Diceros bicornis minor: one gene and its partner. The protein of the gene in region 1 interacts with the protein of each later gene in a biochemical or structural test. Links are inferred from orthologs where the notes say so. Each region holds a gene or a part of one and is shown on either strand. Other genes may lie near its edges.

Evidence for each region.
Region 2: the proteins of PTX3 (region 1) and FGF2 form a complex in vitro, tested with the Homo sapiens proteins (3 studies listed by BioGRID and IntAct, with this or other methods). The link is inferred for Diceros bicornis minor from reciprocal best matches to the Homo sapiens genes PTX3 and FGF2.

Annotation. Positions count from the first base shown.
Region 1 is NC_080754.1:63,619,955-63,628,403, forward strand, and holds the start of PTX3 (pentraxin-related protein PTX3), read left to right. Parts: upstream 1-5,254; 5' UTR 5,255-5,316; coding exon 5,317-5,446; intron 5,447-5,893; coding exon 5,894-6,295; intron 6,296-8,449.
Region 2 is NC_080750.1:15,952,397-15,960,681, reverse strand, and holds the start of FGF2 (fibroblast growth factor 2), read right to left. Parts: upstream 3,383-8,285; coding exon 3,283-3,382; intron 1-3,282. UniProt on the Homo sapiens protein: Acts as a ligand for FGFR1, FGFR2, FGFR3 and FGFR4. Also acts as an integrin ligand which is required for FGF2 signaling. Binds to integrin ITGAV:ITGB3.

The sequences.
Region 1 (8,449 bases):
CTGCAATTTTTATACCTATTTCTTTGTGCACAAATGGGAGATAGTCCCTAGGGTACTGCTTCTGAGCTTAATGTGCTGAGAAATCACCTGGGCATCTTGTTAGATATTGATTCAGCAGGTTGAGGGTAGAGCTTGAGAATCTGAATTTCTAACAAGTTCTCAGGTAATGCTAATGGTCCCTAGACCACATAATTAAATAGCAAAGCAGTGGTTATGTTTCTGGGAGTTAAGTTTCTAGATGTTCCAAATTTCTTTGCAAAGTGAATGTATTAGTTTTCGATCGCTGCCATAAGAAATTACCAAAAACATAGTGGCCCAAAGTAACGCAAATTTATTATCTTATATTTCTGTAGTTCAGAAGTCCAACATGAGTCTCACTGGGCTAAAATCCAGGCATTGGAAGGGCTAGAGTCCTTCCTGGAAGCTATAGAAGGGAATTTGTTTCCTTGACTCTTCTAGCTTCCAGAGACACCAGCATTCCTGGGGTGCCCTTCCTCCATCTTCTCCAGTCAGCAACATAGCATCTCTCTGCCTCTGCCTCTGGTGTCACACCTCTTCCTCTGATTCCCTCTTCTGTCTCTCCCTTCCACTTTTAAGGGCTCTTGTGATTTCACTGGGCCCATCTGGACAATCTAGGATTATCTCCCCATTTTATATAGCAACCTTAATTCCATCTTCAATGCAATGAAACACAACATGTTCACAGGTTGTGGGGATTAAGACCTGCACATCATTGGGGGGTGGCATTATTCTGCCTACCACCATGATTATAAGAATTTATACACCCACTAGCAGCGCAAGTGTTTCTGCTGCTCCACATCCTTGGTAACATTTGGTCTTTAAGACATTGGTTTTTGCCAACTGATGGGTGTGAGATGATATCTGATTTTTTTGTTTTAATTTTCATTTCCTTAATTGCTTATGAGACTGAGAACTCTTTTTATATGTTTTCCTCTCCTGTGACTTGGCCATTCATATCCTTTGCCTATTTTCGATTGGGATGTTTGTGTTTTCTTATTGACTTGTAGAATTTACCTCTTTATTCTGGACACTAATTTTTTGTTTAAAAATTTTAAAGTTGCAATCTTAATGTAGTTGATTTTTAAAATTTATTTACTTTATGGTTTATGATTTTTTTTGTTATGGAGAAATCTTTCTTTTTCCCAAGTTCATAAAAATACTCTCCTATATTTTCTCCTAAAAGCATTATGGTTTTGTTTTTCACACTTGTCTTTAGCCCATCTGGAATTTACTTTTGTACATATGAGGAAAGGATCAAAATATATACTTTGTGTATGCATATATAAACAATTGTCCCAGCCCCATTTATTGAGTAGTCAATTGTTTCCCTTCTGATTTGTAGCAACTCTTTCATATCTAAGGTTTCTCATGTGTCTGGGTCTGTTTCTGGGTACTTATCATACCTTTACCAATTATACATTTTCTTAATTTCAATAACTTTATAATAAATCATTACATCTCATAGGGCAAATTTCTTCACCTTCTACTTCAAATTCTTCTTCGCTCCTTTATATAAATTTTACCATTAGTTTGTTAACTTTCTTGAAAAACTAAGTTAGGATGTTGTTTTTTCACACTGAATATATAGACTAACTTGGGATTACCGACATCTTTGTGAAACTCAATCTTCCCATTCAAGAACATGATACAAATTTCCATCTATGTAGTTTTTTTTACGTCTTTCAATAAATACTTGTGGTATCAGCTGTGTCGTATGTATCTTTCATTAAATTGATTCCTAAGTAGTCCATATTTGTTGTTGATATTGTAAATGACGGTTTTTTTCCTAAGATATTTTCAATTTGTCGTCTGGTATTAAGAAAGCAATTGATTTTTGTATGTTGATCTTTCATCCAGCAAAACTTGTTCAAGTCTCTTATCAACAATCTGTCTTTAGAGTCTCTTAGATTTTCTGTATGTAGGTAATCAACTCGTAATCATTGATAATAGCTTTGTTTTTTCTTTCCATCCTTATTCCTTGTATTTCTGTCTTTGTCCTACTTTACTGGCTGGGACCTCCAATACTTTGATGAACAGAACCAGTGTCCACGGGAATCCTTTTGTTATTCCTGTTTGTAAAGAGTATATTTCTAAGAATTCACCATTATGTATGAATATGTTTTTATAGGTTTTTGGTATTTATGTTTTATTAAGTTCCATTAAGTTCCTGTCTGTTTCCTAGTTTGAACATGAATGAGTGCTGAATTTTATTAAATGATTTTTCTCCATCTGTTGACATGACCATATGATGTAATGGAAGAAATGTAAAAAATTAATGCAGTAAATTAATAGATATTCTAATGTTTAATCAATCTTGCAGTCTTGGAAAAAACTCACCTTGGTTCTGATGTATTTTTATGTATATATTGCTGGGTTTGTTTGGCTAACATCTTATTTAGAGCTGTTGCATCTATGTTCTTAAATGAGACTGGCCTGCAATTTTCCTTTCTTGTACTGTCCTTGTCTCTTCTCAGTATCATACTTACTACACATATAAAAAGAATTTAGCACATTCCTGCACACTCTGTTCTCAGAAGCAGTTTGTATAAGATGGGGATTACATCTTCCTTGAATGTTTGATAGAACCTGCTTATCAAATCTTTTGGACAATGCTTTATATATTTCATTATATTGAACTTTATATAGTTTAAGTTTCTGTATTTTTCAGCAGTTTTTTTTTGGCATTTGAATGATCACTTACGACCGGAGTGGACTTATCAGTTATGAGAGACGTATGCTAAAATCTCCCTCCATGAGTATGGATTTGTCAATTTCTCCTTATAATTCTGTCAATCTTTGATATATATTTTTTAAAACTATGTTACTAGATAATTCTGAGAGATCTTGTTGGTAAAGTGTTTCTTTTATCGTAATTTAATTATTCTCTTCGCCTTAAAGTCTATTTTCCCCCCCCAAAGCCCCAGTAGTTAGTTGTATGTCATAGATGCACATCCTTCTAGTTGCTGTACATGGGATGCGACCTCAGCATGGCCGGAGAAGCGGTACGTCGGTGCGCGCCCGGGATCCAAACCGGGGCCGTCAGCAGCGGAGCGCTGACAACTTAACCACCAAGCCACGGGGCCGGCCCCTTAAAGTCTATTTTTGACTAATATTAATATAGCTATGCTATATATTTGGTATATTCTCCCCACCCCACTACCCTCTTTTAAGTTTTTTACTTTAGACATTTATAGATTTCATGTTTTATGTGTGGTTCTTATAGTGACATGTAGCTTGGGATTTGAAAGACAGACCTATCTGTCGACATTTGTCTCTTAACTGCAAAGTTTGTTTCATTAATATTGATGGCAATTATTGGAATATTTGGATTTATTTTTACTACATTATGTTGTGCTTTTTATTTACCTTTGTCTATGCTTTTCTTCTCTCCATTACGGCTTTCTATTGATCAGGTCAGGGTTTTTTTTAATTCCCTCTATTCCTTCTATTTCCTTTTGGTTTTGGTGGTTGTGCTTTAAAAGATAAACATTCTTAACTAACAAAGCAAAATTAATTAATTTCTCTATCACCTCTCTGAACAATGGAAGGATTTTAGAATACCTTACTGAACTTAAAGAGTACATTTTGGATTATTTCCTTAGATCTTTCTTCCGGTTCCTTAATATTCTCTTCAGCTTTGCCTACTTTGCCATTTAACCCATTCCTTGAGGGTTTTTAAAAATTTTGATTAACTTTTTTTTAAATTCTAGAAGTTGTATTTGGTTCTTTAAAAAGTCTACCTAGTCTTTTTCTTTTGACAACGTCTTTTTCTTTTTTCATGTTTCCAATTCCTTCTTGTAGATCTTAAATAATTTTAAACATTTATTTTCTAGTTTCTAGATGACATTTTAAATAAATGAAGTTCTTGGGGGAGAAGTGTCTAATCCTTTTTGGTTTCTGCTGATTCTGATTTATGGTGAGTTGTTTCCTCATATGTTTACATCTTTTTTACTGTGAATTTATTTTTACTGTGGCAGACAGTATACATTTGAATCTTGAACATTTGTGTGGGCAGGCCCAAAGTCACAAACTCTTAGCGACCCCGTGGAGTTCAGTCAGAGAGACAAGCTTACTTCTCACTTGCTTGTGCTGAGGCAGAGTGGGGCTGTGCCTATTGAAATCCCATGCGCAGCTCACTGAGGGTCCAGCTTTAGGCGCCCGTCTCACCTGTAACTCCTCAGCTGGCCTAAGCTTTGCCCCTACATGGTCATTAACACTTAGTTAATCAGGCCCTAATAACCTCCACCTCCTCCCCTCGCCTCCTGGGGAGCCCTAGCTGCAGCTCTTGGGCTCACCTTCTGATGTGGTTCCACCTCTGTCTTTGGCCCCTGGACACTTCCCTGACTTTACTGGGAGCTCATTTGTGCATTTAAAGTTTTTATTATTTTTATTATGTAAATACATTTCTAGGTGTTTTGTGCGGGAGAGTTTTCAGCTTATACAGACCCCATATATTGGCAGAATTTACCCTAAATTTACTTAAAAATATGATCTTTAAGCCTAGTGAAATAATATAATTTCCACTTAATATCAGGTTATGAAAAGAAACATACCTAAAATCAGTTTATTCCTTTCCCCCAGCTCTTTCTCTTTTTAGGTTTACCAGTTTTGCCATATTGTTTGTCATTTAAAAAGTGTGTTTATAAAAGTATAGTTGCAATTCCAGAAGGATTCAAGATGAAATGAGTCGGAATGGACTTGGCTTCTAGAGCCATAGGAATTCTTACTGTGTTGGTTTATCTTGGAATCAGAGAGTAACTTTCTCAGCTTAGACCTGTAAAACTATGTACAAAGGAAAAGTGAAAAAAAGTTTTCTGTACATAAAGGGTGTGAAATAACAAAAGTGCACACAAATGCTGAAATATGCTCTTGCTTCACACCTCTACGCCTGCTATTTCTCCCCCTAACCCGCCTCCCGCCCTTTCATCCCTCAGGGCTACCAATTCCAGTTACAACAGCCAGTCCTCAGAGGACAGTCGCAGCCCCGTTCTCCCCCCTCTTTCCCCTCTGACCCTCCTCCAATTAATCTGCAGTGTAAACTTTTGCGCTTTACTATTGTGCAACGTCCACGTTTCCCTCGCCCTCCCCGCCAGCCCCCGCCCCCCAAATCCAGGGGAACTCCCGTTACCGCAGTGCCACCGGCATTACTCATTCATCCCCATTCAGACTCTCCCAGCGTTTATTAAGGGCTCTCGCCTCCTGCGTCTCACTCGCCTCGCTCCTTCTCCGCTCACTGGAGAGCCTCTGGCCTCGTCCCCTCCCGCCAGCTGTGGGAAGAACTTCGTCTCTCCAGCAATGCTCCTCGCTGCGATTCTGTTTTGCGCTCTCTGGTCTGCAGTGTCGGCCGAGAACTCGGACGATTATGAGCTCATGTATGTGAATCTGGACAACGAAATAGACAATGGACTCCATCCCACTGAGGACCGTAAGTTCATTTTAACTGTTTCTCTGCTAACCCTAATTACATATCCACCTCTTTGGGTCTAAATAGTATACATATACTTCGTAGCCAATGAAATAAGCTAAAAATTAAAGTTTCGCAAAAGAGAGAAGCACTTTAGGAAAGCGGGAGGTTTCAAAAAGTTGTTTCTGTCACAGATACACAATAGGTTGAACTGTATGAAATCGCCGATATTTGCCTCTTCTGAGCTACGGCAATTTCATAAGAGTTCAACTAAATATATACCTGCATGAATGGTTTCTGTCATTCTCAAGATACTTATACGCTGTTTTTCGGAAGCGTCCTTAAGGGGAAGGGGGGTGCTGGGGATGGTCTGTGAATTGGGACCGCCAAGGGAGGTCAGCTTTTTACAAAGCACACCCGAGGAAGGCCTGGGCGGGTCGGTAACGTGTGTTGTGTCCCGCGCTCTAGCCACGCCGTGCGACTGCCGTCGGGAGCACTCGGAGTGGGACAAGCTCTTCACCATGCTGGAGAACTCGCAGATGAGGGAGGGCATGCTGCTGCAGGCCACCGACGACGTCCTCCGGGGCGAGCTGCAGAGGCTGCGGGCGGAGCTGGGCCGGCTGGCCGGCAGCCTGGCGGGGCCGTGCGCGCCCGCGGCCCCCGCGGAGGCCGGGCTGGCCGGCGCGCTGGACGAGCTGCTGCGGGCGAGCCGAGACGCGGGCCGCAGGCTGGCGCGCCTGGAGGGCGCCGGGGCGCAGCGCCCGCAGGAGGCGGGGCGGGCCCTGGGCGCCGTGCTCGAGGAGCTGCGGCAGACGCGAGCGGACCTCCGCGCCGTGCAGGGCTGGGCGGCCGGGCGCTGGCTGCCCGCAGGTAAGGACCCTGCGGCTTTGTTCTCGGAGCGCTCTGCGGGAAGCCAAGTCAGGCAACCCGCTGGGGGACGCTTTAATAGGGGAAACACACATACGGACCTCTGCTTCTCCATGACGGTCAGAGAGCTCAGACACACCATGCTAGGCGGGAAAACTGGCTTTAAAAAGTATTCTCCAGCCCCGAGGAACCCAGAAGATCGCTGTGCACGCAACCACCATAGTCTTGAAATAGACAGCAAGGGCCCGTGACTGACACCCGATCCCACCAGGCGTCGCAGGAGCTCCCTTGACCGATTATAACCGTGACCTCTCTCAGTGGCCGGCTTCTCTCCGTTAGGGATTTCCACTTCTAACTTTAACCTGTCTGCCTTTTGCGGGGAGCTCTGGTTCCTCGGGCTATTTCAGGCCCAGCCTAACTTTTAGAGACGTTTTCCAATCCCTGGGCCGGCCCCACCTCCCCGCTGTTGCTGAGCAAGAGACTTGGGGACGAAGCTGATCTCCCGGAGGAGTTAGTGGAATTCCTGAGGGGTCCCCCAGCCCCCGGAGGTCTGTAGAATTAGCGCGAGAGTGGAGGTCCGATGATCTGCGGCTTGGGATAAACCGGCCGTTGCGGGATCCACAGTGGAAGAGGCAGATGTGGGAGCCAGTTGGTACCCTGGCCCCACCCCAGGGATCTGGAGGATCACGGCCAAACAGGAGAGAGGCGGTTCAGACTAGATGCATCTTGCCAAAGTCCATGTGGTACTACTGGAATCTCCAAACACGTGTGGGCCCGAAATAATACATTTTAAAGATGGTTAAAAGAAATAGAGAAGATTTGGAACCAGGTGACACTCCTTTAGAAAGCAAAATTTCTAAGAAATGGTGATGCAACCATCATTTGTCGTTTATATTAGAAAATCAGTGTCCTAGGTAAGAAAATATAACTTTTTTTGTGTGTGTGTGTGAGGAAGATCAGCCCTGAGCTAACATCCATGCTAATCCTCCTCTTTTTGCTGAGGAAGACGGGCTCTGAGCTAACATCTATTGCCAATCTTCCTCCTCCTTTTTTCCCCCAAAGCCCCAGTAGATAGTTGTATGTCATAGTTGCACATCCTTCTAGTTGCTGTATGTGGGACGCGGCCTCAGCATGGCCGAACAAGTGGTGCGTTGGTGTGCGCCCGGCATCCGAACCTGGGCTGCCAGTAGTACAGCGCGTTCACTTAACCGCTAAGCCACAGGGCCGGCCCTGTGGCTATTTTAATGGATGAAATTTCTTGTCTTTTGCAAACTAGGTATAGTCATTGTACATAGAACCAAAAAACTGAAGAATTATGCAATTTTCATCTTCACTTGTGAATACTAGTTAGAGCAGAAGAAAGATGTATTTCTGAATTCTAAAATGTTAATTTCTTATTACATCCAATATTACTTTACCCACATGCTTTGATTTCTCCTCCCTTGGTTTCCTGCCAGCTTGGCTCCTAAAGGATTTCTAATCATTCTGTTGTCGGCCTCCTAAGAACCTGGTTTTCATTTTGTTTGGTCTTTGATAATATAATCAGAAAAATCTATTAGTTAAAAGCCATTTCGTGTGACAGTTTCTGATATTTTAAAGAGATGTCAAGAGACTCAATTACTGGTCCCCAAAAGAAGCCACAAAAACCCTGCCCCCATGCAGTTCCAGTCCATGAACTCACACAGCCAGCGCAGCCCGCAGAGGAAGCTGGGTCTCGGAGAGGCAATGGAGGAATGCTTTGGAATGCAATGCTGACCGCCTGGGCTTATTTAAACAGGAAATCAGTTAATTAGATTGCAGTAGGCGCCCTCTTGAACACTACTTTACTGAAACATTACAGAGAATATCTCAAATGCCCATGCATATGCTGATCTTTTGTTCCATGATCTTTGTTTGATTTAATTAATCCAGTTTGTTGATTTAAATGCACCTACCAATTTCATTTGAGGAAAAAAATCAATGTCTTATTAAAAATTAATTTTAAAAAATCTTCAAAAATTCAAATTATTCAGTAAAAAAGTTAATACCGAAGTGTGACGGGACCAATTTTGCGCTTTAGTATTGTAGTTACTTTCAGAGGATTTTCTGAATCTCACTATTTCTTTGACTATTACTAAAGGATAAGGTCCCCATCTGCTCCAGTTTTTCAGGACAGAG
Region 2 (8,285 bases), on another chromosome or scaffold:
ACAATAAGTTTATCTAATTTTGGCTTTTAAATTTTTTTACAGAGAAACAAAAGATATTTGTGTCTACTAATACGCACGTTTTGTGCCACATTGAAAAGTTTACTATGATAAAAAAATACACTTCTAGAAATTATGAAATGTATTTATAAATTGCCAATCTACTATAGGATGCTAATATATGATAGAAAGATTACAGTTGCCTACTTCCCAGTTTTCACTGGAAAGATTACAAGTAGTTAAAATTTATAGTCAATATGTAAAAAAAAAAAAACTACTAGAAATAATAAGGGTGAAGGAAAATGACTGTATATGAAAAGTAGGCAAGGAAAATAGAATGTATTTTCTGGATAAGGAAAAGTATGCAGGACATGGTTTTTTTTTGTTTTGTTTTTTGTGTGTGTATGTAAAAAGGAAAAAAGAAAGTAATTTTGTCCTAAAATAAAATGATTGCTCCAGAATAAGAAAGGAAAAAGATAGGACAAAACCTAAATGGATATAGAAAGTTGTAGAAGGTTTCTTGTGGAAAAAAACTCCTGAGAAAGGAATTTTATATGTGGTCAAGTTGACTAGGATTGGAATGGATTTATTTAAGTTAAAAAGAAAGAAAAAAAGAGAGTTTTAATATCAAAAGTACACTGGTGCAAAATTAGAATTTGGTTTTTTTTCCGTTCAAAGGACAAAGTTTTCTTAGGTTATTGGTCTGCTCTTAATAAGAAACTATATTGGGGCCGGCCTGGTGGCGCAAGTGGTTAAGTGCGCGTACTCCGCTGCTGCGGCGGCCCGGGGTTTGCCAGTTCAGATCCCGGGCATGAACTGACGCACCGCCTGCCAAGCCATGCTGTGGTGGCGTCCCATATAAAGTAGAGGAAGATGGGCACGGATGTTAGCCCATCAGCAAAAAAAGAGGAAGATTGGCAGATGTTAGCACAGGGCTGATCTCCTCACAAAACAAAATAAAAAAGAAACTATAAACAAAGGTTTTCCTTTACCTTTAATATAATCTGCTGAAGAAACAAAGATTCTGTGTCTTATAAAAATATTTCCTGTGTTTCATGTTTTCTTCATCATGCTTTGATTAATTAGAAAAATCGTCTTCTCTATTAAAAGAGCTAAGGTTTTTTACAACTATATAACTTTCTATATTTGCCTCTGAAATCTTTTGTCACTTTAGTTGAAGGGATAACTAAGTATTGTTTCACAGTGACCTATAATCCTATTTGATCAAATGTTTTAAATTTTTTGACATTTTTAACAAACTTCCTCAAATCAAATTCTGAATGAAGTCTTTTTGATCTTGAACTAACTTTGGGATTTTACAGAAGGCCCCTGGAACATCTCAAAAGATTTGTTTTCTCTCCTCATAAAAGAAAAATATTAAACTAATTGTGCTTATTTGATATGCTAAATTACATGGGAAGCTTTGTCAAATAAGAAGTGATGCTAAACTTTCTTTAGTTTATATTTGTATAAATATGTTATTAATATAAGTGTTAAAGAAATTATATGAAATTCCTAAAAATCTGATATGTCCTGGTATAATGTTATCAGTCACTATTCTAGTTATTGTTTTCAAGTGTATGTCAGAGAAATAACCAAATTTCCTTGTCAACCACATTATAAGGAACTCCCACAAGATCTTTAACCATGGTCATTTTTAAGTCTTTTGTCATTTACTGACAGTTATTGTTTTACTCTGATGTTTTTGCAAAAATCTTCTTGTGAAGTGCATTTCATCTTCAAAGAGATTCATGGAAAAGATCCTGACAAGTACTCTAAAATGCAGGCTTCTGATAACTGAACTGGATAAGAATTTATAGAATTCTAATGGGAAACTGATTGACTCATAAAGTTGCTAACCCAAGATGAAGCAAAACAAGAATTAATTACAGGAGACTAAATCAACTGATGAAGATGATTATGATTTTTATGAGTTCATTTAAAACATTGCTGATTCTGTAATGTTTTGTTTTCCAGATTTAAAGCATCCCTTTTTCTCCTGTCTTTTAAGCTATCTATAACTCAGGGCAACTTGGTAAAGTGTTTCTTTGCAACAAAAGTTGAAGCATTTATCTTTTTCTTCCTACCTGATTCCTCCAGAATTTAGAAACTCTTATTAAATATTCTTATTTTTCATGAAAATATATGTATTTGCATAAGTTCAATAAGAATCTATTCTCCTTGTAACAGGACACAATTGGACAAGTCCTTGGCTTGGCTTCCTAGCCTCAAGAGGCTTTTGATAGTCCACTCTGAGATTCCTTATGAAAAGTTCCAGCAAAGCAAATTCAAAGGAGCCTATATAGTCAATCACTATTCTTGCTGCACTTATGTAAATAATCAGCCAAGTTTATTCAAACTAGAATTAATTTGCAAACAAATTAGTCTTACTATGGTTATCTTTGATAGAAATGGGAATGATCATAAGGAGAAAAATTATATTTCAGAAATACATCTTGGTGGATATCAGATTCTAGTACTGTTAATTGTCTTTGAGGTTTTCTTTTCTACCTGTAACCTGGACTGGATCCTGAATTCTTCTAGTTCCCTCCAGTATTTGGCTAGAAATTTCCAAACTAAAATTTCCAATTTTCTCCCATTCTTTCAACCTGGAATCACTATGAAACTAAAACTGCCCTTTTCCAGAAGCCATGCCAGCTATAGCTGGACATATTGATATAAACTTCAGAGAAATCATCACTTGTGTGTGGACAATCTTCGTGCCTGTTGCTATGCGGCCACTCAGAAAGATGGCCAGAGACATTCACCCTGCAAACCAGGAAAATCTGTCAGATTGACACTGCTTGCCTTGCTCCACCTGAAGAGGCTTAGACACTGACATTTAGAAATCTTTTCAACTGGCTGCTTTCCAAACTCAGAAACTGAGTTTATAATTTGCTCCAACTATTAACCTTTGTTTTTCTTTTGTTTCCACAGAAATGCCTCTCACTAAATTACCTGATTGCTCACATCATATAGAGACCTAATTGAAATGAAAGCTCACCTGTATCACCACTTCCTGAAATAAAACATCCTCACATTCATCTTGTCCTAAGTAATCATGAGGATATGTGTTTGCTAATACATCATGTTATGTTCATGTAAATAACTTAAAAAAATCAAAACTCATGTGATTTATTTAGTTGTTTAAATCTTGGCTCCTAGAAATCTCTGCTTCAGGAATTTTTCAGTCCTTGGCTATTGTTCTCCTTATAGTAGTCATATTAACCCTCTAGTACGTCGTATACTCTCAAGGGTTTTAAATGTCTGTCAGCAGCCACTCACACGCCAAATGGTACCCATCAGGATCAGACAACAGGGTGAAAGCAATAACCACATATGGGGCCAGCTCTGTGGCATAGTGATTGAGTTCGGAGCGCTCCATTTTGGCAGCCCAGGTTGGTGGGTTTGGATCCTGGGCGCGGACCTACACCACTCATCAGCCATGCTGTGGCAGTGACCCACTTACAAAATGGAGGAGGATTGGCACAGATGTTAGCTAAGGGCTAGTCTTCCTCAAGCCAAAAAAAAAAACAAAACAGAAAGATTGGCAACAGATGTTAGCTCAGGGCAAATCTTCCTCAGCAAAAATAATAATAATAATAATAATAACCACATAAATGACAAAGACAGTGACTACATGGCCCTCCGGCCTGACGACTCAACTAGCGGAAACAGTGAATATGTGATTCTCTGGCCTGACTACGTCAATGGTCATAACCAAGAATAACGCTAAACTAGTTGGTCATTCTCTCAGCCTGCTGAGAGAATGACCAAAAGGGGGGAATTGTTAAAATCAAAAACAAATGGAGATCATCCTTGAAAATTCCCTGAGCAGACAAAACCAGTTTAATCATACAAGCGAAGCCTAATTTAGCTTATTTTGCAAGACTAACTTGCCCCGGGTCATTTCTTGCTTATGCCTCTGGAAATTACAAGCAAAACTTGAACTGTTTCCCAAGGTTGATATGAAGTAAGCACTGAAGATGCTAATATTATAACCAATCACTGTGAAGATAAATAGTCACTACTTCTCACTATATAAACTGCTTTATAACACTACACCCCTGAGCCTCAGTTCATGTTTTTGTTTGAATGTTCCTCGTTTGCAGACTGTCTTTTTGTTGTGTATACAATAAACTTTTACTAATTACTACTTCAGTGATTCGCTGGTTTTACTTCTATTATTTCTGAACTTTTGACAAGGCAGACATCCCACGTTATTATTTAAAGATAGAATCATGAGCTTCAACAGTCAGCCAACCAAGAGATTTGTGTCCTATTGAGAAAGTATGAGAAGCCTAACCAGGAGACATGTCTCTTTACGGAGGTAGGATTAGGGACTGTCTGCCAGCAGGCCAAGAGTCCTTAAACAATATTGTGGTAGATTGCATTATTGGCTTCAATTCTTCACCTCTTATTGTTACTTGGAGTTTTCCCTGTGACTTAGTAGTTCCTCCTACTAAAGGTGAACTTGGCTATTCCATTGGCTTGGGTGGAAGTGACAGTACGTCAGTTCTGAACCTAGACCTTCAGAGATCCTTCATATTTTTGCTTGTTCTCTTGTGCCTATGCCATTGCCATGAGATAAACTTACTTTAGGTAGCTGCTGCCCCTTCAGTCTGGGCCTCAGAATAAACACATTTTGAGCAGAGCTGTTTCTACCTATCTGCGACTTGTAGCATGAGGCAGAACCAGGTGTTGCAGTCAGAGGCAAAATGTCTCTAGCCACTTCACAGATCCATGAGCAAAATAAATGCTTTTGTTAAATGCCACTGAGATTCTTTTGTGGTTTTTTTGTTACACAGCAATAGCTGACTGTTGCATTTGTGCTAGGTCAATTTCCAACATATGAACAAATAGAAAATGGAGGTTCCAAATTTTTACCCCATAGAATATGGCAATGATAATTTCAGCTTGAAAAGTTTTTAAAGCAAGTTTATCGAGCACCCACTTTGACCACAAAAATATATTAAGAAAGTACCAAATAGAATGTCTACTTACCATTAAACAATGTAAATTCTTGGTGAAGCTTTGAATACAATAACAGTAGCAACTATATTTTTTTAAGGCAAAGTGAGCCAGGTATTACACTACACACATTACATTAATTACCTCATTTCACTTTCATCAGTTATGCAAGGTAGATGGTAAAAATGCAAACTCCTGTCAGTGAATGTTGGCCAACCAATAGTTACTTAAAACAGTTAACTTGCAAATTCCCCTTAACTAACAAAATCTTTGGATGTTCTCCATTCTATTATTAACTAAAGAAACTCGGAATCAAATAGGCATAACTCTCTGAGGTTTGGAAACCATCCTTGTCAGGTCACCTTGCCTGCAGAAATAAGACTTAATATCACTACTTCCTCTTGCAAATATTTTCTGGGCCTATGACAACTTTTAGTAGTTTCCATCCTTGACCTGTTAGTGTTACGGTAATTTTATTGCAGTGACCAGAACTGGAGATGTTTAGTCTATTGGCATTCTAACTTACCTGAATGAAAAGTCAAGTCATATTTTGTTTGGGCTTCAATGAACCTATTCACTCGATGGAAGTTAGTCTAGTCTTTTTGTATTGATGTAGATTGAAAAACACGGGCATGCGCTTTTTTTGCAACTCATCCTATCAAGAGGAGGAATCTATTCCCCACCCCTTGAATCTCGGCTGTTCTCATCACTTGCTTTGACAAAAAGAATGTGGTAGAAGTGAAGTTGCGTGACTTCCAAACTAGATCTTAAGCTTCTGCCTTGGGTCTCTGGGAATGCTGCCCAAGAGGGACATGTAAGGCAGCCAGTCTAGCTTACCGAGGATGAGAGGCCAATGGAGAACTAATTGCCCCAAGAGATAGCCAGATCCAACTGCCAGATACGTGCCTGAGGCTATCTTGGACCTTCTAGCCCAGCTGATCCCAGCTGTATGCCCAGGCAAAACCAGCAGAGGAGCACCCACCCAACACACAGAATCATGAGAAATAGTAAGTGGTTGTTGGTTTAAGCTGCTAAGTTTTGGGGTGGTTTATTACACGGAAATATACAATACAGAATATACTCATACTTTTCCTTCTTATTCTTAGTAGCATAGTGGAAAATATTAGATAATTTGGAAAAAAGTAGTGAACTAAGGAGAACAGGCAGTGAGTAAATTCTATGCAGATGGATCACACAGCTTTATTTCACAAACAGGAAAGGGGACAAATGGAGCAAGTCTCATTGCAGATGAGAGGAGATGAGTGACTTCTGCAGATCAGGGAGGTAACCAGCAAGTTGTAGGGGGACGGCTCTGCCACGGCACCCTCGTGACCCCGCACATATCCAGATAGGCCAGGTTTGGACTGTAGCCTGTCCTAAGTCTTGGCAGATCCTCCTTGCGGTCTTCCTGGAACACCACAGCACGGAGGCTTGTGAGGAGTTGCTACCAGGACATGTCTCACTCGCTTCCCTGTCTGTCAGGGAGACTGACATAAGACAGTTTCTCATCGCCTCCCAGGTTCTGATGAGGTGTGAGGCATTCTGCCTCGCCCACCTTAGACAGAACGTCAGGCTATAAAACCATTTAGTTGCAACCCGGAACTCCCTGCTTGGCCACAGAGTGTACTGCAACTCGCTCTGCAATCATCTGGCCCTTTTGTTGCATGTCATCCTTTTTGGTCTGTGGAGCCAGGACCACGGGGAACTGGCATCTTTAGCTACTCTTCCTTTAGTTGTCCATGTAAGTAATAAACCATCTAAAGCTAAAAAGGGCTCGTTGTGTCTTCACTGGCCCAAACTGGCAGGGCTTGGCCGTGGCCTTGCCTATTGTGTGCTTGACACAGGTCAGTAATGAAATCAAAAGAGCTTGTCATAAAGAATTGGCTGGCGCAGGGAAGGCCCTGAAGTATGGCTCCTGGTGCATAATAGGTACTGAGGTACAGTGGCTAATGCATAGTAGGCACAGCAGTATAATGGATGGTGCATAGTAAGTACTGAGGTACAGTGGCTGGTCCATGGAAGGCACATAAGTGTAGTGGCTGGTGCAAATTAGGCACTGAGGATGAGTGTCCGGTGCATAGACGGTACTGAGGTATAGTGGTACAGAGCCAGAGCTGACGGCCTAGTGGTTCAAGTGCGGCACGCTCCACTTCAGCAGCGGGGGTTCAGTTCCCGGGTGCGGAACCACAACACTCATCTGTCAGTAGCCATGTTGTGGCAGCAGCTCACATAGAAGAACTAGAAGGACTTACAACTAGAATATACAACTACGTACTGGAGCTTTGGGGAGGGAAAAAAAAAAGAGAGGAAGATTGGCAACAGATGTTAGCTCAGGGCCAATCATTCCCTTCCCAAAAAAGAATTTCTTTAAAAAAAAAAAAAGAATTAAACAAACAAAAAAACCCATAATTCTGTAGTTAAGGTGGGGTGAAGATCTGACACATTTTCTGAAGTACAAGAAAGAGGATTGCCTTTTTCCTCCTTTGATCTTCTTCAAAGTGTAGGGAACACAATGACAGCCACAGTAGAGGAAAATGAAAACAATAACTGCAAAATTAAATAGGAATTATATGCTTTATCAATTTAGGTTTATGTGATTTCTAGATTGATTTGTATGAGTTCTTTATATAGTAAAGACACTTTCTTGTTGTATTTGTTGAATATATGTTTTCCCAGTTTGTTTACTTTGGGGGCTTTCTGAAATCTGGATTTCTACATTTTTACATAGCTAGATCCATAAATCTTTCATTCAGCACTTCCTTCATCTTTTCTAATTTAAAAAGTTCTCCCTACTCCAAAGGCTTGAGCAATATCTGTTTTTTTTTTTTCTATGACAAAAAATATTTAATTCTTCAATCCTCCCAGAATTTGTTTTGGTAGGTGGTTAAAGGTCAGCCTCAACTATTTTTTCCTAACTAGCTAATGAAGTTTCTTTTTTTTTGGTGAGATTAGCCCTGAGCTAACATCTGTTGCCAATCCTCCTCTCTTTGCTGAGGAAGACTGGCCCTGGGCTAACATCCCTGCCCATCTTCGTCCACTTTATATGGGATGCTGCCACAGCATGGCCCGACAAGTGGTGTGTCAGTGCGTGCCTGGGATCCGAACCCGTGATCCCTGGGCCACCGCAGCGGAGTGTGTGCACCCAACCACTACGCCACCGGGCCGGCCCTTTTTTTAAATTAATTAATTAATTAATTAGTGAGGAAGATTAGCCCTGAGTTAACATCTGTCGCCAATCCTCCTCTTTTTTTTGCTGAGGAAGACTGGCCCTGGGCTAACATCCGTGCTCACCTTCCTCCACTTTATATGGGACGCCA